4 linked regions of the Drosophila melanogaster genome follow. The protein of the gene in region 3 interacts with the protein of the main gene of each other region in a pairwise test. Each region holds a gene or a part of one and is shown on either strand. Other genes may lie near its edges.

What was found.
Region 1: the proteins of al (region 3) and CG6660 interact in a two-hybrid assay, tested with the Drosophila melanogaster proteins (one large-scale study listed by BioGRID).
Region 2: the proteins of al (region 3) and Jon99Cii interact in a two-hybrid assay, tested with the Drosophila melanogaster proteins (one large-scale study listed by BioGRID).
Region 4: the proteins of al (region 3) and Jon25Biii interact in a two-hybrid assay, tested with the Drosophila melanogaster proteins (one large-scale study listed by BioGRID).

Annotation. Positions count from the first base shown.
Region 1 is NT_033777.3:22,920,111-22,927,979, reverse strand, and holds CG6660 (uncharacterized protein), read right to left. Parts: upstream 4,629-7,869; 5' UTR 4,510-4,628; coding exon 4,123-4,509; intron 4,061-4,122; coding exon 3,629-4,060; 3' UTR 3,455-3,628; downstream 1-3,454.
Region 2 is NT_033777.3:29,920,317-29,928,040, forward strand, and holds Jon99Cii (jonah 99Cii), read right to left. Parts: upstream 4,300-7,724; 5' UTR 4,272-4,299; coding exon 3,474-4,271; 3' UTR 3,438-3,473; downstream 1-3,437. Other genes in the region: Jon99Ciii (jonah 99Ciii), read left to right, coding at 1,926-2,723; Jon99Ci (jonah 99Ci), read right to left, coding at 4,983-5,538, 5,596-5,858; CG15522 (uncharacterized protein), read left to right, coding at 7,679-7,724. UniProt on the Drosophila melanogaster protein: Major function may be to aid in digestion.
Region 3 is NT_033779.5:374,377-383,542, forward strand, and holds the start of al (aristaless), read left to right. Parts: upstream 1-3,735; 5' UTR 3,736-4,105; intron 4,106-9,166. UniProt on the Drosophila melanogaster protein: Involved in the morphogenesis of proximal and distal pattern elements in a subset of appendages. Also has a role in early imaginal disk development.
Region 4 is NT_033779.5:4,945,359-4,953,130, forward strand, and holds Jon25Biii (jonah 25Biii), read right to left. Parts: upstream 5,410-7,772; 5' UTR 5,391-5,409; coding exon 4,614-5,390; 3' UTR 4,583-4,613; downstream 1-4,582. Other genes in the region: betaggt-I (beta subunit of type I geranylgeranyl transferase), read left to right, coding at 546-655, 713-863, 1,549-2,475; jet (jetlag), read right to left, coding at 3,230-3,413, 3,540-4,315; Jon25Bii (jonah 25Bii), read right to left, coding at 6,926-7,756.

The sequences.
Region 1 (7,869 bases), on a different chromosome or scaffold from region 3:
CTGAGTGAGTACTGTGGCCAGCTCGAGAAGTTCAATCAAGTGAACTGTGTTGGCTGTGGCTGGAGTTCGGTCATTGATAAGTCATAAGTTGCTCGCCGCCACACAAGTGCGCCCAAGTTGCGTCACAAAGTTTGTCAAAGTCAAACACACAAAGTTTCCCGCTGGCCGGGGAAAATGCCAATGGCTCAGATATTAGCAGTGCATTAGTGGCCATTGCATTATTAATGACCAGCTGGGCATTGATTTTTACACTTGCTCCTCTGACAGCCACACATTTTCCACCTCTTTTGTTTTTCGCTTACCGCTCCATCAATATTAATTGAGTTGATTGAACGGATGAACACGAAAAGGCTTTCCGGTCCGGAATCGAATGGCACTTGCACTCAGAGAAATGTCAATAAGTTTTTATGCCAAAAAAAAACAATTGCCACTTGCTAAGCTTTGAGAAATAGAAAACCCTTAGTATTTTACCCTCTTTAAAGGCTTAAGAACTTTGATACCACTGTGATTTCACCCCAAAAGTATATTTGTTTTCTCAAGTGCTGGAAGGGAGCTGGCCCACACCGCTGTTAACCTAGATATTGATAACTTTTCACATTAGCTATGAGAGTGCCGCGTGACCCCGTGACCTGTTGCATGTACGCTCGTGCAGTTAATTACTTTGATTTATTCGAGAGTCACACTATGTATGTATATATGTACACGCGTGGTCCGCTTGTCACATATTTCAAATCGCGCTTAATTACGGCACCGTGTACTTACAAATTAACAAAATTGCCCAGCGCCCAGATAAGTAGGTCCACCCACTCGGCCTAAAATTTATTACAAATTTCAACTTGGCTGCCAGCGCGAGCAATTCACCTGCCACTCGAGACCAAAGCTCTGAATTTATTGTTTTGTTAGACCAAAAATTACAGCGATAAAAAGTGCTACAAAGTGCTTAAGTGCGACGAAATTTGCCAAGGAAGAAGTAAATGCCCGAAGAGCATAGACATGGGACATCGATAAGGATCGATAAGCATTGGCAATAAATTGCCAACCAGAATTCAAATAAAGCCAAATGCCGGCTAATCTCCATTAGGCAAATACGTTGAGCTCACCGAAAATGTTGTGATCCATTTCAGGACACGGTGTTATTGTTGTTGCTCCTCTTATCTGGGGGCGTGGAGCGTGGAAAGTACGTGGGATTTTGGGCGGGTGGAAAAGGTCAATGTAAGTGCTTTTCATTGAGCAGTGAACTGCGAACGAAAATGCGGACATAAACTTAATGGAATTTAGATTTCTTCATTACGGCAACAGGTGAAAGGAGCATCAAAATGTGGCCTTTTATACCGGCTTGATTACCTGCACACATGAAAGAGATTCCAGATTTGGGTCGCTTAATATTCGGGTTCATTTTCATTGGATTATAAAGAGCTTTTAGTCCCGGGGCTAAATGTTCGAGGCCCGACATCAATAGAAAATTGATTTGCGCTTGATAATTCGAAAAAGGTAAACAGGATTAGCCTACACATTTGTGGATAATTGCCAGGGGGCCGAGTTACTAGCTCCTTCGCTCTTGAGTGTAAGAACGCACATAGGAAGTTGTTTAAGCCAAGGGGAATCGATTGGAACACGTGTCGCAAAAGCGGGTGCTCACTGTACAGCATGAATAACTATGGTAACGTATGTGCCGATGCTTATTATTATTTACACTCGGCTACAACATTGTCGCAGGACTCGAGTGGCGCGTGTGGGTCACAGCCCAGTCGATATTCTGTGCAGTGCACACACATGGGCACACCACAATCAAGGAGTTTCGTCCTTTTGGTCCTGGCCAAGTTTTATGCTGAGTAATGGCCATGGCCACTGCAGAAGCATTGCTGCGAGTGGCCGTAAAGAATCGCATTCGCAATCGCACTCGCACTCGTAGTTTACATAACGGTTTTACGGCCAGCACTTAAATGCCATGCGAGTCATAAATGGCGGGCAGATATCGAGCATACGCCATGTATGCCATGTACGCCATCCTCGGCCAGCAATCTTTTTGGCCCAATTGATATCCTTGCAGGAAGTGCGCCGCGTTCATTGAACCCTTTTTTGGCAATGATCGCTGATGCTGCCGTACGTCGTACTGATGTTAATGATGACGATTCGGGATGCTACATTGTATGCCATGCATACATGACTTCGAACCCGGACATAAGTTCCAAGCAGAACATACACAACATCCGCCGACCAGCTTCCGTCTCGAATGTTTACGCTCGGCTTCAGTCGCAGAAGTTCGTTATTAGAAAAGTTTTAATGTGGCTCCCAAACGCACAACAACAACAGACACACTCGGAAAAAGAAGGCAGTCCAATTTGGTTTGGGGAAAAGTATCTGGGACTGCGGAGTCTTGGATGTTTTAATGCTATATGTAATAGATTTCTAGGAGAGGTTTTTAAGCTTTGTAAGATTACAAGAAATATCTATCTATCTAAACCATCTATTATGGTCTAAGTAGCTTTCTTTGTTAAAGTAATGGTTTTGTTGTAATCCTAATTTTTTTGAGTGCATCCATGCAGGGACTTTTGGCATTATGTGATCCGGAGTTGGGGCTATTCAGAGATTCCCCTGGCCAGCCACAAATATGAGCCTGACAAACGACTGGCAATGATCTGCTGTTGCCACTTAATAAGCTCCATTTGCGCCAGCCGCAAATATAAGGCGACCTTCGGACTGTTGGCTTTTAATTTGCCATCGAAGGCTCTCGGCCGAGTGAGCAGCAAAGTTTGATGATGCCGCCGCCGTCGCCTAAGAGAAGTATTCGCCGGACTGGGCCAAAAATTTACATAACTGAAAAAATATTGTGCGGGCGGTCCTAAACGAGGCACAAACGCTGCCCTGCGGCTTTCCACTTGCTGCCTGCTTACAAGCATTTTTAAAGCGGTTTCCCTCATTTCGCCCCTTGGTTTTCCATTTTTTTTTTTTTTTTGGGAGCGAAAGCAGATGTAAAACTTCTGGCAAAGAAAAAATGCCATGGCAAAAACAAAAAAAAAGAGGGGGAAAAAATATGAATGAGGCAGCCTTCTAGGCAAATGTGTTCAACATGGGGTAACACTGTGGGTGTGCTAGCTGGTTTTTCCACTCTTTGGCTTTGAAAAGGGGGCCAGAAAAAAACAACGCTGGCCAGAAAGTTAAAAGGTGGCCCAGGGGCCCATGCGACACATGGCCGAAGCATATAGAGAAATGTGGGTCGGGAACACGTGGCGGCCATAACTGGTGCCGACTTCATCGATATTTCATTTAACCCTTTAATAAAAGATATGCCCGGCTAACTTACTTCATAACTTGTCGCCGCCTTCGCTCTCCGTGCTCCATTTCGATTTTCCCAGGCGGTTAAGAAGTTTTCGAGAAAAGTTTAAGGAGCCTCCGAATCTAGCCGCTGGCAAATTGAAATTGATTACAAAAGCAAAACAATTGAGCGATATGTATTTTGTGGCGATGAAACGGAGGGGTTGGGAAACAATCCGAAATGTTTATTTATACCAGGCATTTTGGGTTCGATCGGTGCCCATTTGCATAAGCGACCGACCAGCTTATTACACAATTTAATATGGAAATGACGCGGCGCGAACTTGAACCTCATTTTCAACGGCAGTACAGCTCAGCTGGCTTTCAGCTTGTGCTCCGCCGATTTGCGCTGTTTGCGTATGTAGGTCTTGCAGTAGAAGTCGAAGAACATGGAGAACATGAAGATGTTCTGAATGAAGCCGATGAAGGCGATGAACACGGGAAACTGACACGGATTCCGGACAATAACGAGCAGGAAATGAAAGGTGAGGTAGCCAAACTGCATCAGCTGCAGCTGTGTAATCCGCTGCTTCCACCACAAAAGATTCTTCACCGCGCCTAATGAGGCGGCATAGTAGTAGGCATACATCACCGTGTGCACCAGGAGATTGATTATACCCAGCATGCTGCAGTGTGATCCACCCAGGAAGGTCATGAAGATGGACACGCCGAAGACCATGCCGCCATGGTGATACACGTGCAGGAAGCTCACCTGCGAGTTCTTCTTGCGCAGCACTATGAATACCTGGGAATGCATTTGTATATGGGTATAGAAGGTATATAGACGGTATATAGCCCCCAACTAACCGTGTCGAGCAGATCCAGATACTTGAGCATGTAGTACGCATACGAGGCGTACAATGTCTTCATCATGGCCGGTGATCTGTCCGTGTGATCCACTGGCTGGCAGGTCCAACTGTATCCCGGCTGGAGGTAGGTGTTGCTCAGGCCAATGACGAATATCGTGGCATTGGCCAGCACCTGCACCACATTGTACACCTGCATCACACGTTTCAGCTCAAAGGGAGCACGGTTCGCCATCCAACGTGGTCCGTAGTGGAGCACAAAGGCCACATACAGCGCCACAATGGCCAGCACGATCCATAGATTGCCCAGCAGGGGCAAGTGCGCCACTCGGGGATCTCCGTGCTCGGCGTACAGATCCCTGACCAGGCAGTACAGGTAGGCCACCATGTTGTGCCGCATTCTGGATCCTCGATTCAAAAATACTCCCTGCCGAACTGCCGGAAAGCGATTTGCAGTCCACGAGACACGAGGGTCTTCAGTCTTCTGAACGGAACTGCTCGAAAGCACAGTCTATCCAAGCATTCCGGCTGGCTATGTTAATGACCGTTAAATGAGAAGCACCACGCATACCGGATTAACCCGTGTCAGGCGTTGCACTGCCAGAGAGATTCTCGTTCTTTGTCGCCGGTTTATAAACTTGGAACTGCTTTGGGTTTACGCTCAAAAAACACTGAAGGAAAACGGGGCATAAAACCACACTTTCAAGATCAAGTGCCGATCATCTTTTCCATAGTTGAAATTTCTTAAAAGACCTAAGCAATCTCACTATGAAAAGAAATTGGTTATCTCTTTTCTAAAAAAGTTGTGACCAAATTGTGCCACATTTTTTCTTTATCTCTATGAACTTGTGCCTGTCAGGGGGTAAACAGGGTTTAGCTATTACTTGACAATGTATGAGAATTTATGGGCTATAACCAGCCGCTACGGAAACTTTGCTGAGTGGGAAAAAATGATGCTCCAGCGGGCAAATGTTGGTGGCGGTGGGTGGTGCGGGCTGTTAGCTGCGGTCGATGGGTGGTGACATCAATTTGGGTTACTCAACGTTAATCGTTTGGCTCGCAGCTTGCGGCTGCGAGATATATGCAACTAACCCAGTTTACAAAGCATGCCAATAAATTTGCAGCATAACTGCCAATATAAGCGCAACTGTTTTGAAATTAAGCCAAAAGCGAAGTGAAGGAAAAGCGGAAAAATGGCGGTAACGTCAGCTGCAGCATCTAGTATCCGGCATCCCGAATCCAGTTCACCAACATTCACCATCCAGTGACCCACTGAGCGACTCCGCCATGCTTGATAAATTCGCCAAGTCTGTACAATGGCTGTAAATAGCCGCGGGCATCGGACAAATGGCTCTTAAAAACAACAGCAAGAGCAGCGGGAGCTGGAGGAGCTAGATGAACTGGAAGAGGAGCTGGAGATCGCAGTCGAGCCAACTCAGCGAAATAGGCAAAAGTGTTTTACGACCTGGCTTGCAGCGCAAACCGAGGGCCATGCAAAGGAGCAAAGGAGCAAAGTAGCAAAGGAGATGGGCTGCAGGTGGCTAATCAACCTGAAGCAGGTGCAATTTGTTTGCGCAACGTGCAAACTTGGCAAGCATTTTGTGGTCGAAAGTTTACAGTTAAGGAGCTTCAGTTTATTTCGATAAGTAAATGTGCCAATTTATAGAGGAGAATCAATCAAGGATCTGTACGAAAAGTTTACCTTATTGGCTATTAAACAAGGCCAGGTGGGCTAAGTTGGGCGAGGCCATTTCACTTACTTTCACTCGCGTGTCCTTAAGCCGCAAGTGATGCGATATGTGTACAGCCCACACACACACACACACACTCACATGTGAATAAGAGTGTCCTTGGGGCTCCTGCGGTGACCTTGTTGTGCGGCAGACATTGAGCCAGCCAGCGCCAAAACAATCATTTGCATTTCACCTCCCCACGGACAATGTAATGGACGTCAGCTCATTTGCACAAATAAGCCATAACCGTCGCACGTTCCCCTCCGATTGGCGGCCATTTTCGGAGTTACAGGACGACAGGACGATGGGACTTCAGGAGCGAGGAGCCGCTGCCAGTGGCGTTGCAATAACGGTAATGGCCGCGGTAACGACAACAGCAAACAACAGAAATAATAATGATAATCATTTTGCGCGCACCGGAAGTATGCAAATATACGACTCGAAGGACCAAGACGTTGAATGTGCGGATATATACGTATATCCGTATATCCGTATATACGGGCATGTGCGGATTCACGGTTATAGGGCTTTTTGGCGATGCCCCGGCCAAAGGAAAAGGAAAAACTCTGGCCTTAACAGGTCGCCCTGAAAATTAAAAGTCCGCCGCGAATGAAGCGTTAATGATGGCGAGTAAGTAAACAGTTTTTGGGTCGACAGCATAAATATGAAAATGAGTCCCGGCCACGCCCCCTTATGTCTCTGCTTAAAACATAGTGTTGTGCGCCGTTGTCGCTGGCCATGGCATGAAATGAAAATAATAATCTCTTTGGCCAGGAAATGAAGGGAAATTCAACAGGAAACTTTTGTGACGTGCCGCAAACAGTCCGTGCAAACACACTCGGCGACTGTTAATGCGAGTGTGTGTGTGTGTGTGTGTGTGCGAGTGGGTGTTTGTATTTAAATTGAAAGGCCCAACACAAACACAGGCCGACCAACACTCATGCAGGTGTTAAACTGCGCGGCGTCTCTTTGTGTGAGTTGCCAATGCAAATTACAGTCATTTGGCCAGATATTTTTTTCCAACCAACTTCCTCGGGAATTTTATTTAAAAGCGTTGAAAAATATATAGAGCTTTTCATTGGATGGGAAACTGCTCTACTCTTTTCTACGATTTTTTCCGCCACTTTCTGGCCTGCACTGTCAATGGCATTGTTGCTTGGCACGCACTCGCACTGCGAAAAAAATTGTATCAATTTTCGTTAATATCCATCTAGGGAAAAAGTACTTGAGAAAAAAATCTCAAAAAATATCTATTTGTTTTTTTTTTAAATCCAAAATAAAGGCATAACATTTTTAATTTATTCCTTTAAAGGTATTCAACGACAAAAAATGAAATGAATATTCTCAAGTAGGTTTAAAAAGAATTTTGCCATTAAGCTCGTTTTAATGATTTCAAATGAAGAGCTCGTATGAAATACGAGGTATACGAATCGAAGTATACGTGGTTATACACATTATTTTTTTACGGTGCACCTGGTGCACAGGCTCACCTGTTTTACACGCTGTGCACTCCACGCGGGAATAGCAATAAAAGTTTATGTGCACTTATTATACGCCCAACTGGCCAAAACATTGCACCTCCGAGAACTGTCATTAGTAAATAGTGCATAATTTTCGGGACAGCCGACAATCTGTGCACGGGCGTCTATAATTATCACCCCGGCAAGTGAATGGGCGATAATGGCTTGATTTTCAGCTCGGCAAAAGAACGTAAATGGGTATTAATTATTATGATTATGGCCGTTCCGAAGACACTCGAATCTGGCATAGGAGCTGGTATTGCCATGGCAGAAATGCTTTGCCATTTCGCCTTGCTTTCCTATTTTGACAGCGGCTCGTTCAAGCGGAATTTGGCAAATGCCGAAAACTTCAAGGGTATTATATAAATGTTGGCCCTGGCCATGTCTTGTAAGCATATTTTGAATGCCAAGCAAATCCACATCGCGCCACTCCACTGCATGCGCCACTCCACTCTTTGCCACATTTGCCCCATGTTTTAGCCATGAAAGTCACTT
Region 2 (7,724 bases), on a different chromosome or scaffold from region 3:
AAACTCGGTCAATGTGTGGGCGAACCCCGAGTCAATGGGCCCATTTGACCGCACTTCGGTAATTGTGGGGCTGCATTTGGAGGCAGCAACCGATTTTAGCGATTTCAGTTCAGGAATCTTTCGTCCATTTGTGGTTGCATTGCACGTGATGAGCGACTTTCGATTTTCGAAGCCCCAGCAACGGAATCGCACCACTTTTATGCCTGAAAATCCAAATCAATACTGCCCAGTGGGTTTATATGTAAGTGAAAAACAAAACGTGCTAAATGGAACAATATTATCTGCTTATATTTCGATGAAATGATGCATACAGTTGAGATATGAAATTAAATAGGTGTCTAATATTTTGTACCCAGCAATATAGATCAATGCCCAAAAAAAAAATACGCACTTTGCATACTTTTTGACACCTATTCAAGCCGAAATTCAAAGCTACTTAATATTCAAAAAGTAGCATGAGGGTGTTAATTTGCGAGTAAATAGGGATTCATGGACTTGGGTTCATATCCTAGAACTATTCACCGAGAAAAGCCCTTAAAAATAGGAGAAAATGCAAGCTTTTAAGCTTTTGGCTAACCAACAGAGCCGGAAAACACACCACACCTGCAGTTTACAGTCGAGTATCTACCGAATTGAAATGATTTCGAATGCCTTTTGGGCACTGGGTCAGTGATTCTGACTTTGTGATTGATGAATATTGATTAATCTGCATGGGAAGTGGGAGGGGGAGGTGGGGTGGTGTACATCTAAGACCCAACTCGTCCTTGGCAGCCGAGCGTCTTGAGCCTTGAATGTTGAATGTTGCTTACTTCAGGGCGCTCGCAGGGCTTTTGTGTGTCAATGCACTTGGAACTAAATGCCAGCTCCTGGCTAAAGGCGGAGAAAAGGAAAAGGAACAAGCCCACTTTCACGGAGCAGCCCTTTGAGATGAATGTGTGTGTTCGAAAGGTGGGGTTCAATGGAGCTCCGGGCGGAATGGCATCGTACGTGTTCAAGTCGTACGGGGTTTTTAGCGGGGCCAATGCACTCCACACTCCACTCGCATGGCTTCCAAGAGAAGAGGAAGGAAGTGATGGTGGCCCAAGGAATTTCAAAATTAAAGTCACAGCTGTCGAGGGGAACTCATTAAGTGCGAATTAATTAGAGGCCATAGCTGAAAATACCTGGATGGCATTCTCGTAATTATATAAAGGTACTCCTCATTACACAAATGTGGCTAAATGCACATTCTTCTTATAAGTTCCCATTAACTAAATGCTATGTTGGGTTTATACATGATTTTCTGCAGTGTACAACTGGGTTGCACTCAATGATTCATTGGCCTCCAACAAAACTCCTGCCTTATTTAGCTTTTAAGGACCCTTGTGAGTTATGTGCTCAGTTCTCCACGAGAAAAGCGAAAGAGCTCATTTTCCCTGGGTTTGCGTAGCAGGTTGCACTTTCACTGTCTCCCCACCGGAAACCGTCAAGATTGCGGGATAAAATTCATTTTATGGCCATCTGTATTAAAATTATATCTCTAAGCCCTCAACATGATCGTAAAAATCTATAGTATCAATGCTGATTTGCTTTATGGCACCGATAAGATACTTATGTGTTTAAACAAATTGAATGTACCCACGTAGAAAATGATTTTATGAATTGCATCCGATGAGTAGTATTTAACATTAAATTTATTGTATTTTTAACTGATTCGCAAATCATTGAACACTGATAAGTTTACGTTTTTTATATTGCTGTACAAGCCTCTGCGTTGTTTATTTTTTGTCTTTTTGCTCCTATGTAATCTGGATGACATTAATTTACTGCCCTCCAGCTCAACATATGGGTAGTTTGACACTTGGTCAAGATAAGACAAGGGACTTCTTCTGTATATAAAGGCGCTTCGACATCGGAACACCATTGAGTTGCAAGACTTGACCAAGATGAAACTGTTCGTATTCCTGGCCTTGGCCGTGGCCGCAGCTACTGCTGTGCCCGCTCCCGCCCAGAAGCTGACCCCGACGCCCATCAAGGACATTCAGGGTCGCATCACCAACGGCTACCCAGCCTACGAGGGCAAGGTGCCTTACATCGTGGGTCTGCTCTTCAGCGGCAACGGAAACTGGTGGTGCGGTGGCTCGATCATCGGCAACACCTGGGTCCTGACCGCCGCTCACTGCACCAACGGAGCCAGTGGAGTGACCATCAACTACGGAGCCAGCATCCGCACCCAGCCCCAGTACACCCACTGGGTGGGCAGTGGCGACATCATCCAGCACCACCACTACAACAGCGGCAACCTGCACAACGACATCTCCCTGATCCGTACCCCGCACGTCGACTTCTGGAGCCTGGTCAACAAGGTTGAGCTGCCCAGCTACAACGACCGCTACCAGGACTACGCCGGATGGTGGGCCGTGGCCTCCGGATGGGGCGGCACCTACGATGGCAGCCCACTGCCCGACTGGCTCCAGTCCGTCGATGTCCAGATCATTTCCCAAAGTGATTGCAGCCGCACCTGGTCTCTCCACGACAACATGATCTGCATCAACACTGACGGAGGCAAGTCCACCTGCGGAGGCGACTCTGGTGGCCCCCTGGTTACACACGACGGCAACCGCCTGGTCGGAGTGACTTCCTTCGGATCCGCCGCTGGCTGCCAGTCTGGTGCTCCCGCCGTCTTCAGCCGCGTCACCGGATACCTGGACTGGATCCGCGACAACACCGGCATCTCCTACTAAGCAGTTGATGTTCCTTAATTCTGAGGGGTTTCTTCAATAAACGATTATAGCAAGCAACTCAAGTTCTGTTTTTGGGATGGGATTCAGATGTCTTCTTGCTTAAGTAATGAAATCAATAAAATATTTCCAAGTGAAGGGAAATATATTAAACTGCAAACGGAAATAAACTTATTCCGATTTCCGATTTATGTATCGGAAAAAATCAAGCTTTAGGAACACATAATGACGAACCATCGGACTATATGCAAATATATATATATGGATCATACGTCTTATTATTATGTATTATTATTATGTATTGTTTATAATTATTATGTATATTATGTATATAAAAAGCAAACTGGATTGAAAATGGTGTATGTAGAATATTGGACTTGTTATATTTGCAACATAATTAAAGTGCATAAACATAATATAAATTTATGTTATTATAAATAGCTGCAAGTGGACTTTCCTAGCTTAAACAGTTTTAAATATAGGAATACCCTATAGTCGCTACTAGCGTTCAACAGCTATCATATGGATAGAATATAAAAATAGGATATAAAAATAAGTTAAACAATCTCGTTTTAAAAACATTTAAGGAAAATATGAGATTACTTTTAGTTTTATAATATATGTACATTTAATGTACATAATAGAATATATAAATATTTAGCTCTCAATAATGTGCCCCTCAATCTACAACTGAATAAATAGTTTGGTCGAATTTTTCATTTTTGCTATAATCGTTTATTGAACATCAACTGCTTAGTAGGAGATGCCGGTGTTGTCGCGGATCCAGTCCAGGTATCCGGTGACGCGGCTGAAGACGGCGGGAGCACCAGACTGGCAGCCAGCGGCGGATCCGAAGGAGGTCACTCCGACCAGGCGGTTGCCGTCGTGTGTAACCAGGGGGCCACCAGAGTCGCCTCCGCAGGTGGACTTGCCTCCGTCAGTGTTGATGCAGATCATGTTGTCGTGGAGAGACCAGGTGCGGCTGCAATCACTTTGGGAAATGATCTGGACATCGACGGACTGGAGCCAGTCGGGCAGTGGGCTGCCATCGTAGGTGCCGCCCCATCCGGAGGCCACGGCCCACCATCCGGCGTAGTCCTGGTAGCGGTCGTTGTAGCTGGGCAGCTCAACCTTGTTGACCAGGCTCCAGAAGTCGACGTGCGGGGTACGGATCAGGGAGATGTCGTTGTGCAGGTTGCCGCTGTTGTAGTGGTGGTGCTGGATGATGTCGCCACTGCCCACCCAGTGGGTGTACTGGGGCTGGGTGCGGATGCTGGCTCCGTAGTTGATGGTCACTCCACTGGCTCCGTTGGTGCAGTGGGCGGCGGTCAGGACCCAGGTGTTGCCGATGATCGAGCCACCGCACCACCAGTTTCCGTTGCCGCTGAAGAGCAGACCCACGATGTAGGGCACCTTGCCCTCGTAGGCTGGGTAGCCGTTGGTGATGCGACCCTGAATGTCCTTGATGGGCGTCGGGGTCAGCTTCTGGGCGGGAGCGGGCACAGCAGTAGCTGCGGCCACGGCCAAGGCCAGGAATACGAACAGTTTCATCTTGGTCAAGTCTTGCAACTCAATGGTGTTCCGATGTCGAAGCGCCTTTATATACAGAAGTGGTCCGTAGTCTTATCTCGACCAAGAGCCCTTCCTTCCACACGTATGTAAAATGGGAGGGCAGTAAATTTTAATCAAGTTATCATCGCGAGCCATCGTCGACTGATAAGTCCACTACAGGTGATTTTTTTTTTTTGTAAATTATGGCCTAAATTTGAAGTGGAATGACATGTGCCTTATTTGCAACTTACTCTTCAGTATGATAGTATCATGTAAGGACATTCACTTCACCTAAAATATATTATATACTCAGATTACCCAAATGAGGAGTAAAGTATTTTATGATCTTTAAGAAATTTAAATTCTGAATAATGTTTATTGAAAGTATTTACTACCAATTTCAAAAAAAAGTGTGATAAAATATTACTCATACGGCACATTGTACAGTTTTTGTTCTCAACAAGTTGATTTTTAGATTATCAAAAAATAAAACACTAATAGGTTAATATTACATAGGTAATGTATTAAATGGTATGTATTATGTAATATGTAATGTATTGATTATGTATTATTGGTAATTTTATCTCTAAACATGAATATGCCACTATCTTCCAAGAAATTAATAATACACAAAATATAACAGCATATGTTCTTCATTTATTTAAAACTTGTTTAAGCACCTTTTTGCTTTGAAATTAGTAAAGTTTTTTTTTAATAATAGATTCCAGTCTCCTCCTTTATCCATTCCAGGTACTTGGTGACCCTAGTGAAGCCAGCCGGTCCTCCAACCTGGCATCCGTAAGCGGAGACGAAGGAAGTGATTCCGATAAGCTTATCACCCTCCTTTGTGACCAGAGGACCACCAGAATCACCCTGGCAGGTGGCCTTTCCGTCCGGAGTTTCCACACAGATGGTGTTCTCGGAGGCGGTATCAGTTCCGTAGTAAGCCTGGCACTCCGCCACGGAGATCACTTTCAGATCCACCACTCGCAGATCCTCCACCACATTGCTGCCATCGTAAATGGCACCCCATCCGGCGGCCTGAACCCAATTGTTTTCGTAAGAGTTGTATCGGTCATCCAGGCTGGGAAGCTCTATTTTGTTGACCAGGCTGTAGAAGTCCACATGGGGAGTCTTGATCAGGGCCAAATCATGATCGAGTCCAACGTAGTGGGGATATCTGATGAAGTTCTCGCTGCTCACTGTGTGGCGGAAGGCAGGTTCGTTGTAGTTGACGGCACCATAGTACAGTGAAGCCTCATCAGCACTGCAATACGATGATTTATCAAAGAGCGTTAATTATTTGTGAAATCAAATAACTCACCCAGCGGTACAGTGGGCAGCAGTGAGCACCCAAGTGTGTCCGATTATGGATCCGCCGCACCACCACCAGTTTCCGTTGCTGTTCAAGCTCACACCCACGATGTAGGGAACCTGACCCTCGGACGCCAGGTTTCCGTTGGTAATACGACCCTCAATCCCTCCATGACGAATCTCCAGATCGCGTGGATGGACCAGCGAATGGGGCACAGTTAGGGCACTACAGACCCCAAGGAAGGCGAGCGACAAGAGTGTAAGACCCCTCATATTGAAAGACTAAAAGGCTCCCATGGTGGTCCCAATACTATATAGCTTAGCCATAATCACTATCGATGCTAATTCAAAGTGCGAAATCTTATCTCGCAGCACTTTTATCAACGAAAAAGTTTGATTTATACTAGCAGATACTCAAGACGAGTGTTTGGCAGTATGAATGAAGTGTTAGCAAAGGGAATAAGAGTGTTTTGAGTGCTTCAATCAATTCTGAGTGGATACAAGTTCAAGCAATTTAATTCATTTAATTTTATTAAATCATAAAGAATTATTAACCATGGTTAATAGTAAATGCCAGTCTGCTCCCTGATCCAAAAAGGGCTGCCAATATGGGTACGCAAGCCTTCATTTTGTATACTAAAATCTCCTGTTGGTCTCACACTTTTATATAGACCAATGAAGTCACTATCGATGCACATATAGAAGTGTACAAGCTTATCGTGCAATAAATTATTTTAATTTATGCCACCCAATGGATTAACTTAGTAATAGAGTGCGTTATGGGATTATGTACTTCAAGTTCAGAAAAGCAAAAGTTTATAATCGTACCTCAAAATATATATTCAAATTGTATGCAATGGTTGAGTTTATGCATAAATTCCCAGTAATATATGTCACAGCACAACAAGTGAAAATGTGCAAGCAAGGTGTCATGGGGGGGACTTCAAAGAACCCCAAGGAACAGAAATGGCAATCGAGGGTCATGTGATATCCTTGAAGTATTGCAGGGAATAGTGAAGCAGAAAAGAAAATACGATTATGGCAATCAAAAGGGAGGTCCACTTTCGGAACTACGGAGCAGCAGTATCACTCAAAGTGAGGCGATGGCTTGAAATCCGATATAGTTTCTGAGGAACGCCTCGGGCGGAGTGGGCGAAATGGCGGACCCATTCCTCATTAGGAAGCTACTGGGAATGCCTTTGTTTGCATTCTCCGAGCTTCCCCTTGACCGTCCTTCCGCCGACGTAGTGCCACGCTGAAATGTGCAACATATCGGGGCAGGAAACTCACCACACGGAACGGAAAACGGAGAACGGAGAGCTATTAAAGCCGACCCCCAACGAAGCGTGAGTCAGTTCCCGACTGGGCGTCCGGGCATTCAGACCGCTCGCAAGGATAACGCGCAAGGATCCGAGCGAACGCGACGAGTAAATAAAGCATAAATAATACAATTAAAAGTTGAGCGCGCTCCCTTCGCAAAGGACATTCCCACACTTGTAGCCCACTTCCTTCGGGCAGTGCAACACAAAAGTGCAGTCATTAATTAATTTAATGCATATGTACCCCATCCTGGCAGCACAAGAGTCGAGCCAAGCCGACGATATCCTATAAAGCGAGTGAGTGAAAAGTGTTCGACGAAGCGTTTAAAGGACCGCGCTGTTTGCCGTGTGCGATGCCCATAACAACGGGCTTCGCGATTGCCTTTTAAGGTGGGGCGATTAAGTCACGCTCCTCCGTATCAGCGGCATCGCCAGAACAGGAACTCGGGGCATTGACACTGCGGTTTTAGTGCTCAAACTAAAAATGTGAAAGGAGAACATTAAATCCTGACATGACATACCAAGAGGTGTTATATCATTCCAAGTTCCGCGCTCTTAAATCCTTGAACATATCGAAGTAATTAAGAAACTTACAGCTGTAACTCACAGATACAGTTTCTAATGTTTAATTACAAATTCCATGCTTTAGGCACTAGATACCACCGATAGCACCATGTTCCCACCCAGTTCTGAAGGACACATCCGAGTGTCTCGACGTGACTAGGCCAAGCAGGCCCCACAGATTATAATCCCCAAGGGGACCAGGTCATCAGGATGCACCAGGTACTCAGCTACGAGACGGCGGTGCGGGCCAACAGCT
Region 3 (9,166 bases):
CACATTCTCGGAGTTAACGTTTTGGACAAATTAAGCGCCTTAATTATGTTTAATTAACCACGGATAAATAATTACGAGTTCTTACAAAATCGACATTTAGTTCCACATGAATTTCCCATTTTTCGACTCTGCACGGAACTTTATTTGGTATGGGAAAATATAATTATATTTAATTACTTGAAAACAATATAAAGATAAAATTTAATAATTTTAATCCATGCGCATTAAACTCTAATTATCTGAAATATGCAATTTCTGTTTGGCGAATTCCACAAAACTTTCAAAATGGAACGAAAACCAAGTGTAGAACTACGTTAGGAATCCATGGGAGGGGGTCAGGGGGCAATTAAGACCAGTACCCAGTACAGTCGGTACACGCACTAATTACCAGAGCATTTCACATTTTATTTCGCCAGGAAGGCATGGTGCATGGGGGAGGGGGGTGGTAAACCAGAGGCCATGAGAGAGTTTCCACAATTAGATTTACGAACAAATGAAATTACTTCGCTTTCGTTTTAATTGCCGCCCGCTTATTGGCCAGGAATGTGTACGTACATACACATAATCAGCCAAGCAGAAGGCCTTATCGCTGGCTGGAAATCTGGCGATTTTGGGTTGCATAAACCAGTTAATAACGCGCTTCCGCCCAAGTCAATTTCGGGACTACACGACAATTGAGTGAAAATGCAATGTCGTCGAATCCAACAAAGCCGAAAGCAACGAAAGCCAGGCAAATCGTCGTATCAAATTACCAAATAATGATCTGGGGGAGGGCCAAGGAAATGCCGGCCGAAACACCAGCTATAACCTGGTACTAGGCCATCAACCGGGGCGTTATGTACGTACATACATACATATGTACGAATATAGTTGCCATCATGCGACAGTTTTGTTGGGTGATTATGTCACACGCCCTGCTCGCCGGCCGAACGCAGCCATTTGTAATTGAATTAATGCCGGGGTCTGTGGTCTGGGATCTGGGATCTGGGATCTGTAATAGTTGGTGTACTATTTATGGGCCAGGTGACGGGCGGGGCCTTATCGCCAACATTTCATCGCGCGACTCCAGTAACCCTAACTAATCGCACGTAATTAAATATAATTTGGTATCGTTTACAGTTGCGTTTCGTTTGCTACACCATTTTCACCGACTTCGGGCTTTCGTGGGTGAGGGAAATCTATGCCGAAGTAATGGCTGTAATTGGGTAACTTTTTTGGGTAAATTCCATACATAATAACCGCACAAATTGCGTATAGTTAAAGGGAGGAGAAGGGAAAGCTTGTTAGTACAAAGGCAAAACACCTCGATTGTATAAGTATGAAATACCCATAACTTCTTGCTCCAACCCGTTGGTTAAAATCAAAATATATAATTTATCTGAATCATTTTCATCATCTCAAACAACACCATCTTAGCTTTGAAGTTGTCTTTGTAAGTTTTATAAGAATAATTAAGCAAACACCAAGCAGACACCGCTAGTTGATTAAAGGCTACCATCTTTGGAAGGTCTAACCAAATGGCAAGCCCCTCAAATCTATTTCATTCTCCCAGCTGGCAAATGGCAACTGGTAAATTCTTCTATCTAAGCCGCATAATGGTCATAATGAATAAGACACCTCGGACAGCAGATAGGGAACGGGCGAGCTGACTTGGCCACTTGGCTGCAATTTGTTTGCTATCAGCCAGGAGAAAAACGGCGAACGACTTATGGGGGAAAAGAAGAAAAAGGAAAACGCGCAGCAGAAATAAAATTATTTAATTGCGCAATTAAGTGCACATTTGTAGCGTTTTGCGCGACATCTGTCCCATGTGCAGGAGTGGATGCAGACCCACAGCCACAGCGCGGAGTCGAAGTCGGGACCGGAAATTCAATTGTTGAGATAATAATTACATTAGGACGTGCGCGCATGCGCGACTCTTTCACTTTAAGCCTCCGTCTCTTTCGCGCTGTGGAGCGATCTGAGCCTGCTTAGAGTGGACCCGAATTGAGTCCGAACGGGGAAGAATGTCCACACGGATGTATTGAGACAGAGGAATACCTAGTACTAGATCCATTTCACCGCTAAATTACGAAATTTCCCTATTCGAATAAACCATCAAATATCCTCTTATAAGCATATATGCTGCGGACTGAATCTGTACATATAAAGACCTGACAATTCTCTAATTTGGATTCCGATTAAAATAAATTAAATGAAGTTCAATTGTGAGGATACCATCTTATTCAAGGGTAAATACATCAAGCCCTTGCTCTTCCCGAACACTGGGTATAATAAGTGCACACCTTGCGCGACGGGCTGATTGACACGGCCACATGGGGACGAGAGATACCGTGCTCGGTACCAGATATTCCCGATCCCGGTCCGAGTTTGCTGTCCATTGAACTCGTCGGACAAATGGTCACTCCTCGTCCGTCGACGGTCGATGGTCGCTGGTCTTTTGTTTGCATTTCGCCCGTAAATGAAGCGTGAAATTGGCAGCAGTGCAGCGGACTCGATCCAACTCCGACTCCAATCCCTATTCCGATCTGCAATGGAACTCGGAGAGCGTCGCATTGTTTACTTCTTGTTAAGGCCCGACAATGGGATAATATGGCCATATAATGGCAACACCAAACTATTTGTATGCAATTGCCATTAACACTTTATTTATTGCCTTGCGATACAAGCAAATTGGGCAGCGAATGATGGTCGAAGGAGGGGGACGCTTCCAGTGCAAAATGCCGCTGGAATGGATCTGTGGATGTATAAGGCCCGCTTATATAAAGCCTAATGAAGTGGTTATCAAGGAATGGAATCTGTTAGGTCTGCTCGGAAATGGCAAGAGCTGGGCTGAGTTCAGTTTTTCATCATGGACGGAAAACATTTTTCCTTGGATTACATTAAATTACGAAGATGGATGTGATAAAAATGATGTGATGTACAAGCCTATGGCTTGTATTTCACGTTGTATCAATCTAAATCAATATTCACTTATTTAAAAACTATCAACGGCTTTTCCAAACATCCTTCATTCAAATTTAACTTGAGTCATCTACATAGCTGGCTCATTGACCTTTTTCTCAAGTTATTGCCCTTCCCCGCATGACACCCCCACTCCGATGGGTAAGCAAAACAGTCTACAGTCCGACAATCATCCAATAAAGCCAACAAAGTCATTAACGAGGCCCTTAACACTACCAAAACGGTCTATATGGCCGGTTCCAAGTCCCCACCCCAATACACGCAACTCTTTTTCCCATATGTCTTGGCTAAATTATTTAATTTATGAGCCGCAACAACTGGCAAATGCATCTATGGCAACCAGAGGAAAACGCGTTGAGCTGGGGGGCAAATAAATTTCCATTTTGCTAATCAAATTTATTGCACTTTGTGCGGGGCTTATTCAATTACGCCCAATCGAAGAGGCGCGAGAGAGAGGGCCATGCGGAGCGACAGAGAGCGGTAGAGAGCAGCTCCGCCATTATTTCGCTCCGTCGAATGCTGCTTTCCCATAGGCCGAACCGCCAGAAAGAGGCGGAGTCCGCCTCCCGGCCACCTGCCGCCTCACCTGCGACACCTGCGACGATCGATCGACATGCTCCGATCGCATCGCTCCCTCTCGCTCTGCGGCACTACGAAACACTAAAAACACTGGGAGGCCAGAAAACCACTCTCGCAACATTGGAAAACAACAACTCCAACCGGTTGTTGTTTCAGACCCACCAGAGTTTTCACCTGCGCGCCAACTGCTCACCGTGTAGTTTGCTGCCGGCTCTGGAACAGCCCGGTCATCTCGTCGCGTTCGGTTCCGATTCCGATTCGAATAGTCGAGCTGGGGATACATTGTTGTTTCCGGGTTAAAGTGCGTACGATTGCGGAAGTGTCGGTATCCTGCGCGTAGTACAAAGTTATACCCATCAAAGGTGTATCGCGATCAAAGTGAACGCTTGGTACTCGGTATCTGGTTGTTGGAAGAAGTGGACAAAAGACCGTCGGCAAAAGTTACTGTTGGTGAGAGCTACAGGGCTTATTAGCCCGGTTAAATAGGAAGAGAGAGATTCAGAAGGCCAAACATTATCAAGACCATCCGTACAATATCTGGCGATTAAGGAGGAGAAGGAAGGTTAGTCTCAGACATTTTATCAAAAATATATGAAACATTCTTTGGACAGAATAGGATTTGTTATATCGAGAGCGTGCATTAAACAGGGAATCCTAGTTACTGTAACTCATAATTTTTTATCACAACCGTAGTCATTGCCTTATATCATATCAAAGATAGGGATTTTCTTAATCAAGCAATTTATATAAATTTTGTTTTAGCCCTAAACTAATCTTGACCCTTTTCCGCCACTTCCGATCCCCAAATCACATAAACTTATTATCACACCTTGCGAATAACCTACTTCTCAGCATGATAGACAAATACTACAAGTATAAGCCATAAATGAATTTCATAATTCACCTGTCTAATCATCCCAATCAATGTGAAGAGGGAAAAATAAAACGTATGACGAGACATAAATATCATTAAATTTGATTAATTTCCCACCTGGACATATCAAATCAGACAAATATCAAGCCAAATCGTATCATCGCTGTAGAATAGAATTTTATTAACTCAATTTTGAGGGTCGAAAGATTTCGCCTTTGCCTTAGCTGATAGTTCGATAAGTTTATCGCTGATTGGTTTTAATTAAACACCATTAAAGAGTACAAATTGTCAGCAGTGCAGTCAGCGCCAATAAATCACGTTTTGTCTAGCTGATGTTTTTCCCTTCTAGAGGTGGTTTTGGTCGAAAGTTGGGGGCATAGTCTTATGCTTGTCCCGTGTACCTACAGAATAAATGAAATTAACCAGCCACACCTATCACCCGCCGATAATCTTGTCAAAAGCCACTGACCACTTAGCTTCGTGACGCGGACGAGGGCCCCGAATATATAGTGAAAATAACACAAATATAGACAGATATGTGGGTCCTGATAAGGCAAAGGAAAACCGGGACCCTCTTTCCTGGTGATAATCGGGCACTTGGCCAACTGATTTAATTAATACTTATAACTCATGTGACTTGTCAGCACAAGTTTAAACGAATTTGTGACGCAAGTTGGTCGCAGTGTATTTGTATCTATGAGGTAGCATCATTCCCAATAGATAATACCGAAAAGATTCGATAAGATTGTCCCGTACAGCGTAAAATTAAAATATGTTCTCCACCGAAATGTAGTTCAATTCAATTACGGCAACATACAATTAAAACTTGTTGCCAGATACCTTAGATACTGTATCTTGTAGATATACACCCGAATTTTTGGCAGCTATCTGAACACGAACTCTGATTTGATTTGATTCGCTGTTGTTCGATTGCTCGACAGCTCCCAATTTGGGGCGCTGTCTTTTGAAGGGATGTCGGTTGATTGTTGATCGTTGATGGCAACACACCCCCCGAGAGAAATCTTCTCCAGCGGGAAGATGGCGCCAGGGCCCTTTGAGATGTGCTTCATTAATTCTTGTCCCCTGCCCCTCGCTAAATGGAACATGCAAACATGAGAAATTAACGTCGTCGTCCACAAATTGCCCACCGTCTGCCTCGGATTCGCTTATCAAACCACACAAGACAATGACAAAGGGCAGGGCGGAACAGTCGAAGATGGAGATGGCGTCGGGCAACAGTTGTCCAATCCCCAGATCCCCGATCCCCGAACACCGATCACCGATCCCCGATCCCCTCCGGTCCCAATTTATAGCTCCTCACTGCGACTGCTGTTCTTAACATGCTTTTTATGAGTAATTGGCCCCGCATCAACATCACCAACACGGGCTAAGCTTGTAGCTACAGCATCGCCATTCACCATCAACAACTTCTTGGTCTTCTGTGTGGGTCTTGAGTTGCTGATCCTGGCTCTGAGTCACAATTTGAACTTGCGTCTACCTTTGGACTACCGTCCCGGCACTCTGATCCATTAGGGTGGACACGGGGTAATTTTTGCTACCTGGGAGCGAATCTCGAATGCCCTTGGAGAGCTCGAAATCCATGTGTCAATACATTTTTACCCAAAAGTTCAAGTACATACAATTTTTATTGTATTTAGCTAATAGATAGTCTCAAATGGGAACGTGTTCTGCCTGTAGACCTAAAACTTTAATGTATACCTTAAATTGTAGACATATTAGGGATTATATAGGATAAGTAGATCAACAACTTAGTTGACCAACTTCATTCACCAGGCGTAGGGGAAGGGTACTAGACCCTTCGTTGCAACTTCGTCTGATAGGCAGTAAATTGAATTAAGATTGTGGAAAAGAACAACAAATGAGGCAGCAACTTCGACACAGGATATGAATAAACTAATTATAATTGGGAGTGTGTGCATTAGAGGTCCATAACGTACACCCCAGAACAAGAGGTACAGAAACAGACGATGATGACGGCGCCTGGCCAACAACAAGAATGCTGCCTTATCGCACCTGGTCCAAAAGACGGCGCCAAGAAACAAACAACCCAACAACTGGAAGGTGAATGGAGGGCTCAGGTGCAGCTTAAATGAGATAAACACTACGGAATTGACTCGACTCGGCCCAGCTCAGCTGCTTGTGATATTAGTTAAAAACATTTCTGGGTGACTTACAAGAGCTGGTCGAAAATAATAATTGGTCTTATCGAACCAAAAGTAAACGACCAAGCTTGGAACGTCGCTGGCCAATCCGTCAACTTCTCCAGGGGACCACCAAGGGACTGGTATCGGGGGCGATCATTGAGCTTTCGCTCGGGGCCAAAAGTTAAGCCACCCAAAATGCTTGCCATTATCGAAGAACCGGAGGCGAAATTACAATGCCGATCATCAAAGTGTGACTAAAGTGGTTTAGCCTAATGTAAACCCATAAATAAGCAGCCCAGATACCGGCCAGACTGGGGACTGGCTGGAAACTGGAGTCTGATCAATAAAGTCTGGAGAGTGGAGGATCGAGACGGAGGCGCATTAACGAAATGCCAGAAAAGAGCTTCTGTTTGCTGTTCTACCTGATGCCGTCCCTCTGGCCCGGCTTTTAATGAAATATGCCAGCCCAACAGTCCCCAGACACCGAGAATCGAGGATCGAGGATTGCACCGGGAAGATCGGGAGCCGAAGGAGCTAAAACACAAAAGTGCAACCATAAAAACGACACCAAACATGAAGGAGCCAACTGAAGGCCCAGCCGAAGTCGCGTCTCTGCGGAGAGGAGCTGCGCAGCTTTGAGTTGTGGAAAGAGCAGCCAGGCAAGGCAGAAACATTGATGCTTATCGAGATGACAGAAGTGACGACAACGGACGCCGGACAGCGGACAGTGGGCAATGGAGTACATCGGATGGACGGTGGACAACCAAATAGATGTAGCTTCATACACTTGTCTCGCATTACGAATTAATTTCTTCATTTGCCATATGAATGTACTGAGAGAAAGTCGCTAAATGTAGGATAAGTTTATTAGCTACGAGTGAAATAGCTCCAATAGGGCGCAACTTTTTTTCCAGTGGCTTTATGACTGTGCTGGGCTAGGAAACCCACACAGCCTACAATGTTGCTCTTAAATATTTCCCCAGACACTAATGGAGCTTATCTCTAAACGGAACAAGCAACCGCAAACAAGTTGCCAGACTCGGACTCGGGCACAACTCAAAACCCCAGACTTTGACTGAGATTTGGAATGGGACTTGGTCTGCCTTTGACTTTGACTGGCGCTTGGCCTGATTAGCATGCAGGGCCTAAGAGGGCCAAGACGCCGAGTAGTTGTGTCAAAATGTTAGCCACGAAATCGCCCCCACCAGAAGTTCGCGTCCTCCTATACCATCACATTTCATCACATCCACATCCCAGGCTTCCTGGAGTGGTCGCCTATCTGGTTTTGGGCAGAGCAAGTGCAGCGTTAACTTGATTAGTTGCTGACCAGCCAGTGACTTAAACTAAATGAAGCCATGCGACCAACGCGACCAGCGCGACCAAGCCAAATCGGTAGGCAGACGTCAAAAACTTGACAGTTTCCAGCAAAGTCTCTGCCTTTTAATTACCCAGTGAACCGTCAATCAGCGGAGGATTCCTATTCCTGCTGCTCCGATTGCCTGGCCCATAATAAAGTCGTAACGCGGATACAATTATAAGGCGGCTCCACAACAAAGCTGAACGGCACACATTCCCCGCATAGCTCCAAAGTGCTCAACGGTTCCCATTCGCATTCACATTCACGTTCACATGCAATGAATTAATCAGTGCTGGTCTTGTAATGAAGTCGGTGGCAATCGCAACTAGTTACTAGTAGCATAATTGCAAATTCGTACAACTAATTTAATAATTTGCTGACCGCAAATTAAGTTTGTCAGCTGTCAATACGCGGAATTTGTTGACAACATTGAAAACTGACATGGCAACTCATAACCGAAGTTATGATCGAGCCCAGAAATGAGTTATGAACTGGAGTTAACTGACAAGGAGGATTCATGCGGAATGCTTGGGCGAGGTGAGGAAAGATGCCACTCAAGCTGAACCTTCTGGCTTTGGGGAACGTCTTGAACCACTTGCAGTGCACTTAAACAAAAGCTTTGGAAATAAAAGAAATCAATAAATCAAAAGCAACTAACAATATGTTAGGTGATCTTTCGTCAATCAACTTCAAATAATAATTTTAAAACTTTAGCAATTTTGAAGACCAAGTGTCAAGATTTTTTTTTCAGTGCACATTTCCCTTCTCTGGCTTTGCTTGTTTGCCAGTTGCAACTTCATTCCGCGCAAGAATGCAACTAAATCAATCACCGCCACACTAATTTGCCATTTAACAAGGTATTTGGACAATTTTGATATATGTAGAGATGTCAACAGAAGCGGCGGCCATCAATCAAGCGGAGTTTTGGGCATGGGACATGGGTCTGGAGGTAAGGCCCTGATTTTTGAAGCTCAGAGATGGAAGCAGAAGGGGAAGGTTACAAGCCGGGCCTAACCACTTAGTTGTCATTTAAAGACATCGTATATTAATTAGCCAAACATGGAATTAGCAAGCCAAGCAAGCTCAAACTTCGGGAGCTGTTCATGAAGAAGAGAAACTCGGGCCCAGCTAGCATCTGATATTAATTTGATCTGATAGAAGCCACATGGACACGGGTCTCGAACGGTGACCACAGCGCAGCCGTTGAGTTGATGATGATGAAAATGA
Region 4 (7,772 bases), 4.6 Mb from region 3:
GCCATTCACAGGAAGGCCCAACAATTTTATTTATATTTAATGTTTATGCGACTCTAAAGATTATGAACACTTGATGTAGGCTTGTAAAATATTTAAATTAATTATTTTCGAGGTTTAAGAAAATATCTTAGCTTATATATTGTTAAACATTATGATATAGAAATTTAAGAACTAGCAATTATTTCCCCGTGTAAACGTGGTTCGCTGTGACTGGCAAGAAGAGGTAAGAAGAAGCAGCTGCTATTTGTGGACTACTCTTGGTGTTTTATATCGTTCGCCGTAGCCCTAAATTGCAATGCAAACCGGCTTTATATAAACAAAAGGTAAGTGCTAGACCATATAAATGTGGGCACGTGCGGGCGCAACATCATTGGAAGACGGAATCGCAACCGGAGAGCGTCTATTCCGGCCAGCTCAGTCCAACCGTTTGGGAAGGGCCTTTCAACGCTTAGTCATATCCATATCTCAGCGCACACCGAGACAATCCAGTTCCTACCCACCCATAAGTTCCTCATTTAACAAGCAATATGTCCCACCACATAGATATGGAAGACCGCACTGATACGGAGCCCGTGCTGCTCTCCAAGCACGCCAAGAATCTGCTCCGATTCCTTAATCTCCTGCCAGCTCGCATGGCCTCGCACGATAACACCAGGTAAGTGCATCCTGGCCTCGTATTTAACTTTTGGTTAACCATTTCCTTGTCCATCAGGAGCACCATTGTGTTCTTCGCCGTCTGCGGCCTGGATGTGCTAAACTCATTGCATCTGGTGCCGCCACAACTGAGGCAGGACATCATTGACTGGATCTACGGAGGATTGGTAGTGCCACGCGACAACGAGAAAAACTGCGGCGGTTTCATGGTGAGCATAAATTCGCGTCTGTCAGGTGTACAAACAGTCGTTGACAAGCCAAACAGAACCATCTTCCGCTCCCACATCCACTCCCAATCAAGTTCCTTATCTCCATACGTGGCCAGGTAGCAGACACTGCGGCAGACGTTGTCGCATCCCTTACATATTGGTGTTTATTCAGTCAGTTGATATACGAGCATTCGCATTTCCTTCATTGAGAAGCATCCACGAAGTAAATATTTTGAAAGATTCATTTCCAACAAAAAAAGTATGCAATTCTTTATTAGCATTTATGAAGTTTGTTTTTGTTAAAAATATCTAAGAAGCCACGTCTTGTTTCCCCATCATGCATCACATATTTCATGATTCCAGACCCTTTAGTTTAAATTACAAATCTAAATTTTGTTTTTAAATAATTGGATTCTAATGAAAACCCATTAAATTGTTAATTCCAAGGTCAACGCATCTGCTTTACATAAAAAGCAAAACGGCATTACTTCTGTTACGATCTATACTGTTTAAATATGCATAATTGTAGAGGAGTTCTCCATTTGCGCAGCAGCTCGATTTACCATTACCCACCACACCCCACCCACCGACACCTTGAATTTATCGCGCCACGCTTTATCAGCGACGCCAGCAACATGCAAAACCACTTTAAAATAGATTGATTAATTAATTGGTATCTTTGCAGGGCTGCCGCGCCATGGTGCCCAAAACCGAGGACGCCGAGATCTTGGAGTGCATGCGGAATTACCAGTGGGGCCACTTGGCCATGACGTACACCAGTCTCGCAGTGCTGGTCACCCTGGGCGATGATTTGTCCCGACTGGATCGGAAAAGCATTGTGGACGGAGTGGCTGCTGTTCAGAAGCCTGAGGGCAGTTTTAGCGCCTGCATCGATGGCAGCGAGGATGATATGCGATTTGTTTATTGTGCCGCCACCATATGCTACATGCTGGACTACTGGGGCGATGTCAACAAGGAGACCATGTTTCAGTTCATCACTCGGAGCCTGCGATACGATTACGGTTTCAGCCAAGAGCTGGAGGGGGAGGCCCATGGCGGCACCACATTCTGTGCCTTGGCGGCGTTGCATCTTAGTGGACAACTGCATCGCCTGGATGCCACGACGGTGGAGCGAATGAAGCGTTGGCTCATTTTCCGCCAGATGGATGGATTCCAAGGACGCCCCAATAAGCCAGTGGATACTTGTTATTCCTTCTGGATTGGTGCATCGCTATGTATTCTGGACGGCTTCGAACTAACCGATTATGCCCGGAACCGAGAATTCATTCTGAGCACACAGGATAAGCTCATTGGGGGCTTTGCCAAGTGGCCGCAAGCCACGCCTGATCCGTTTCACACATACCTCGGTCTCTGCGGACTAGCTTTCACGGGTGAACCTGGGCTAAGCCCCGTGAATCCCAGTCTGAACATGTCCATGGCCGCCTACGCTCACCTGCAGCATCTGCATGAGCAGTGGCGGTCCGCAGATGGCCGAGGCGACGAGGATATTAGTGTAAGCTCTGCATTCAAGCAACAACTCCACCTGTCAAAGGGGGTCGAGGCGACATCCACAACAACTACCTCTAACTCGCCATTAATTTCAGCACAATGATGGGAAGCCGCACAAAGCACGAGGGGAAAGTTAAAGCACACTATTGTATTTATATTGGCCACATTTTAGCCACGCTTTTTATGCCCTTGCAGTTAGTATATTTATTTTATCGAAAAGTTTGTAGCGCAGTGGATGAGGCATTTGCGACCATATAAACTATATATCAGTATCACCAGCGGAGTCGATACGGCCATGTCCGTCTGTCAGTTTCTATGCCAAATAGTCTCTTAGTTTAGCAATCTGCATGAACGGGTCGTTGTTTTTAATCGGTATAAATGTTATAATTACTGCAAGGGTATATAAGTTTCGGCTTGCCGATTCTAGCTTACTTTCTGGTTTACATGTATTTTAATGCAAAAAGCTCGAGCTTTTGGAGAGAGAGATGAATAAGTTAGTATGTTTATTGTACAGCCTAAATTAATGTTAACAATGTGTAAGATTAAGCTTAAAAGTAAATTAAAGCGTCCCATGCTGAGGCATGTATTTACAGCAAAAGTATTGGATAGCCTCGAAAGCCTCCTTGGTACATTGGTAATATTGGCCCGGAATCAGAATTAATCTCAAACCTGCAGGAACAGGCGGTGATGTTGCACAGTTGGCATGTAGCCCATGCCGGGCCGATCGATGTGGACCCGTCCACGAAGTGGGGCGAGCACACGCTCGGTGACCAATGGGCAGCGCTGCACCATCAGTGACTGCAGCAGCGGGCAACTGGAGGTGAGGGCACTGCGGAAGAGGGAGAACGAAGTGTGGGCTAGTAAACAAGGAAATCGCTGGGATAGAAGTCGTTCAAGTTGTAAGCGTTGAGCCCCACATCCGGCTGTGGCCTATCGATGTAAAGACGCCGCTGGCGGAGCGGCGCCAGGGAGAGTTCTGTGACCCGCGGACAACGTCGAATGAGCAAGGTCCGTAGCCGCAAACAGTGCACTGTCAAAGCGCTGAAAATACGCAGATGCGGATGCAGATGGAGATTGGTTTCCCCAGAAACACACAGACACAAGGCACGCACAGGTTTACTGACAATATGACAACAGCTTTTAGGGATAACTACGAGTATTACTTACTGCACGCCATAGTCGGAGATAGCCGCACACCCGATCACGTTGATGTGCTCCAGTTCGCGGCAATAGTTCCCGATTTGGATGAGCACCTGATCGGTGACACTGGGCGTATTTGCCAGCGACAGGACGGTGAGCTTGTTAAGTTTCCTGAAGAAGATAATCAAGCAGCGCTCTCCAATTGCGCCGCAATAGGAGATGTCGAACTCCACCAGCTTGCTTTGGTGCAGCGTCAAAGCGTCCACTGCTCCCGTGGTCAGCCACTGGCACTTGGACAGCTTGAGTACGCGCAGCTCCTTGCACTCCACTATGATCGGCTGCAGCGAAAGGGCCGTGATGTTGACGCATTCGTTCAGGTTGACGGCCCACAGGCGTTTCTTGTTGTTGGCCAGCAGTGGCAGCAGCAGCTCATCTGTTAGCCATCGGCAGCAGGCCAGATGAAGCACCTCCAATCGTTGGCAACATCGGGCCAGCACTCGAAAGGCCACGTCGATATTCTTTGTGTTGTTCCCAGAGAGATGAAGTTCCTGCCTTTTTTCCAGCGCAGCCTCCACAAAGCGTTGTGCGGTACGGGAGCAGCAGCGCAGGTTGAAGAGATCCTTGAGCGACAGGTAGACGGCAACCTGCGGGATGAGCACATCGTCCCAGCAGACATCAAACAGCGATCGTGGTGCTGCAATGGAGGCGGTGACCAATGGCCTTGGACTGGCCGTACGCGTTGGTTGTCCTCCGCTGGCCATGGCCATCAGGTGAGCTTCCTCCTCGGGGTGCAGAGTGCACATGCTGCCGCCTCCGGTTACGTGATCTACGCACCAACAAAGCACTCCCAACTCAATCCTTTGGTGCACGGCAAAAACGTAATTAATTGTTTACTTGATAGCAATCAGCTGTTGCTTTGGCATTCACACAAAACTGCTACAAAAATTATTTGTGTAATCTTACGCCGTGGTTTCTACACACGAGTAAAATTTGTTTTACACTGCGTAAAACAAGTGTAGAACACATACATTTTGTTGGTGACCCCGATTTATATACTCTCGAAACGTATTGCTTTTAAAATGATCGATTTATTTAGAAAAATTAGTAAGAGATGCCAGTGTGGTCACGGATCCAGTCCAAGTGGTAGGTGACGCGCTGGAATCCAGCAGGAGCACCCGACTGGCAGCCGTTGGAGGAGACGAAGTTGCTAACTCCCACCAGCTTGGAGCCGTCGTGTGTGACAAGGGGACCGCCAGAGTCACCTCCGCAAATGGACTTGCCGTCGACGGTGCGGGTGCAGATGACGTTGTCGCCAACGCTGCCGTAGGTCCAGCCGCACTCTTCGTTGTGGACGATCTGGAGATCGACGCACTGCAGCCAGTCGGGCAGTGGGCTGCCGTCGTAGGTGCCACCCCATCCGCAAGCGACGGCCCACCATTCGTTGTAGTTGTTGTAACGGTCGTTGTAGCTGGGGAGCTCCACCTTGTTCACCATGTGCCAGAAGTCGACGTGGGGGATGCGGATCAGGGCGATATCAGCGTTGGAATGCTTGATGAAGTTGCCGTTGCCAACGGTGTGGGTGAACTGGGCGTTGGTGCGCCAGGTGGCACCGAAGTAAACGATCACGGAAGCGGCATCTCCGATGCAGTGCTCGGCAGTCAGGACCCAGTCGTGGGCGATGATGGAGCCACCGCACCACCAGCCTCCGCTGAAGCCAAGACCCACAGTGTAGGGAGCCTTACCCTCGGGGGCGGCGTATCCGTTGGTGATACGACCCTCAATCTTGGTGGCCTTGGGCAGGTCCTTTACGAAGACCTTCTCGTCGAAGGCGGAGGCCGAAGCCACGGCCAGAGCCAGGATAGCTAGGAACACCTTCATGCTGATGTTTATACTGGATTCTACTCTCGGATGGCAGCCTTTTATACACATTTTCAGCTAAAACCATATCTGCAACTCGAAAAGGGCTCGTAAATAATCCTCAAGACTCCCATAAACGATGTCATCGATAAGAATGGAGGAACCACTCTACCAAGCCAGTAGTAGAAATCAAAGAAACTCTAGGGGGGACTAGACCCCCCCCACTAGACTATATATATTTATATATATTATATTATTTTATTATTTACCATATATTAAGTATGCAGCAATAAACAGCCAAATTATTATCTATCTAAATGGAATAATATTTTGTGGCTAATCAAATATGTTTGTAGTTTTATTCATAATTATAAAATATATATTTGTCAACCTTTGCGCAGACCATTCTATCTTATCATCATTTTTCAGAACTTAAAATTTACAATGATCTTTGGACAGGAATGATTTTCAATAAAGTTGTTTGTTAACTTTTACATAAAATGTATGTCTGCTTTTTGTCCTGATAAGGATAATCTGTAATAATGGCTGGAGGTTTTCCGCTTGTTTTCAAATCTATTACTAACTGTTGCCAAGTTAGGCTGAAGGATTCTCGACTATTATTAATTTAATAGACAATTAATAAGAACAACAACAAACCAAAACTTGATGCACAAGTGTATGATAACCCTATATACTCACAGGTTTTTGATAACAAGAATTACAAGTGCTTAAAAATAAAATAGTTTACAATTATTGTTCAAGTGTAAACAAATGTTTGAAAGTGATAATAAAATAGGTGTTGGAAAAATGTTAAAAACTTGTGTGTTATTTTCATAAAAATGCTGATTGAACTTCTTTACAGCAAAATTGTCAAAATTACTAAAAAAGTTAGCTGTCATTGAAGATAAGATTAAATCTAGTACAAATCTGTAAATTATTATTTGCTTGCTATTATATATAGCTTTTGCTTAAAGTTTCTAAACTATCCAATCGTTTTAATACTTACAAAAATATATCCAAAATAAAACAGAAACAAAATATACATCTGTATTTAATATTCTAAGAAAAACTGAAATATAAATTATCATTATTTAAATGAAGGAAAATTTTATTTATTATAAACAAGTTAAACAAAATGGAGATTTTAGCCACATGCGTAAACCCTTTAATCTTATCGAAGGTAGGTCTGAAAAATAAACAAATCCCTCCAAATCAATTGATAGAAAACTGAGATAGTAAGAGAAATAAACTAGACTGGCACTAACAACAAATGAAATACGCAATTCTTTATAACTTATAACACTACTTATCTTTCTGATTTAATTTAAATATGAGGCTTAACATTTAATCATAAATAATAATAAATTGGAAACCATATCATTCGTATTCTATGAAAACATTCTATGAAGATATCGAAAATCAATCTAAACCATACAAAATCAAGTATCTTGATCCTTAAGATAATCCATTTTAGTTTCCCCATTCCTTAAATTTAAACTATCGAATTAAAAAACAATTATCTATTAAATGCAGAAGGGTTTATTTCGAGAACGAAATTAGTAGGAGATGCCAGTGTGGTCGCGGATCCAGTCCAGGTAGCTGGTGACGCGGGTGAAGCCATCGGGCAGGCCCGAGGTGCAGCCGCTGGCGGCCACAAAGGAGGTGACACCGACCAGCTTGGAGCGGTCGTGGAGGACCAGTGGGCCGCCAGAGTCGCCGGCGCAGGTGGACTTGCCGCCGGGGGTGGAGGTGCAGATGACGTTGTCGGTGATCACATCGGTTCCATAGACGCTGGAGCACTCGTCGCGGGTGATGATCTGGGAGTCCACGCAGTTCAGGTAGTCGGAGACGCCACAGCTATCGCAAGGCCTGCCCCATCCGGAGGCTAGAGCCCACCAGCCGGCAAAGCTGTCGTGGCGCTCGTTGCCATCGGGCAGCTCCACCTTGTTGATCAGGTGCCAGAAGTCCACGTGCGGGGTGTTGATCAGCGAGATGTCGTTGTTCAGGTTGTTGGTGTTGTAGTCCGAGTGCTGGCGGAAGTGGCCGCTGCCCACGGTGTGGGTGTACTGAGCCTGGAGGCGCCACAGAGCACCGTAGTAGATGGTGACGGAGTGAGCTCCGTGGGTGCAGTGGGCAGCCGTGATCACCCAGGTGTGACCGATGATCGAGCCACCGCACCACCAGCCACCGCTGTCGCTGCTGAAGCCCAGACCCACGATGTAGGGCACCTTGCCCTCGTAGGCGGGATAGCCGTTGGTAATGCGACCCTCGATCGAGCCGGATCCGGATCCCAGGACGGCGTCCTTTAGGGGCACCGGCTTCACCTTCTCAGGCTGGGCGGCGGCGCAGGCAATGGCCACGGCCAGGACAGTTAGGAACAGCTTCATGTTGATTACTTGAGTG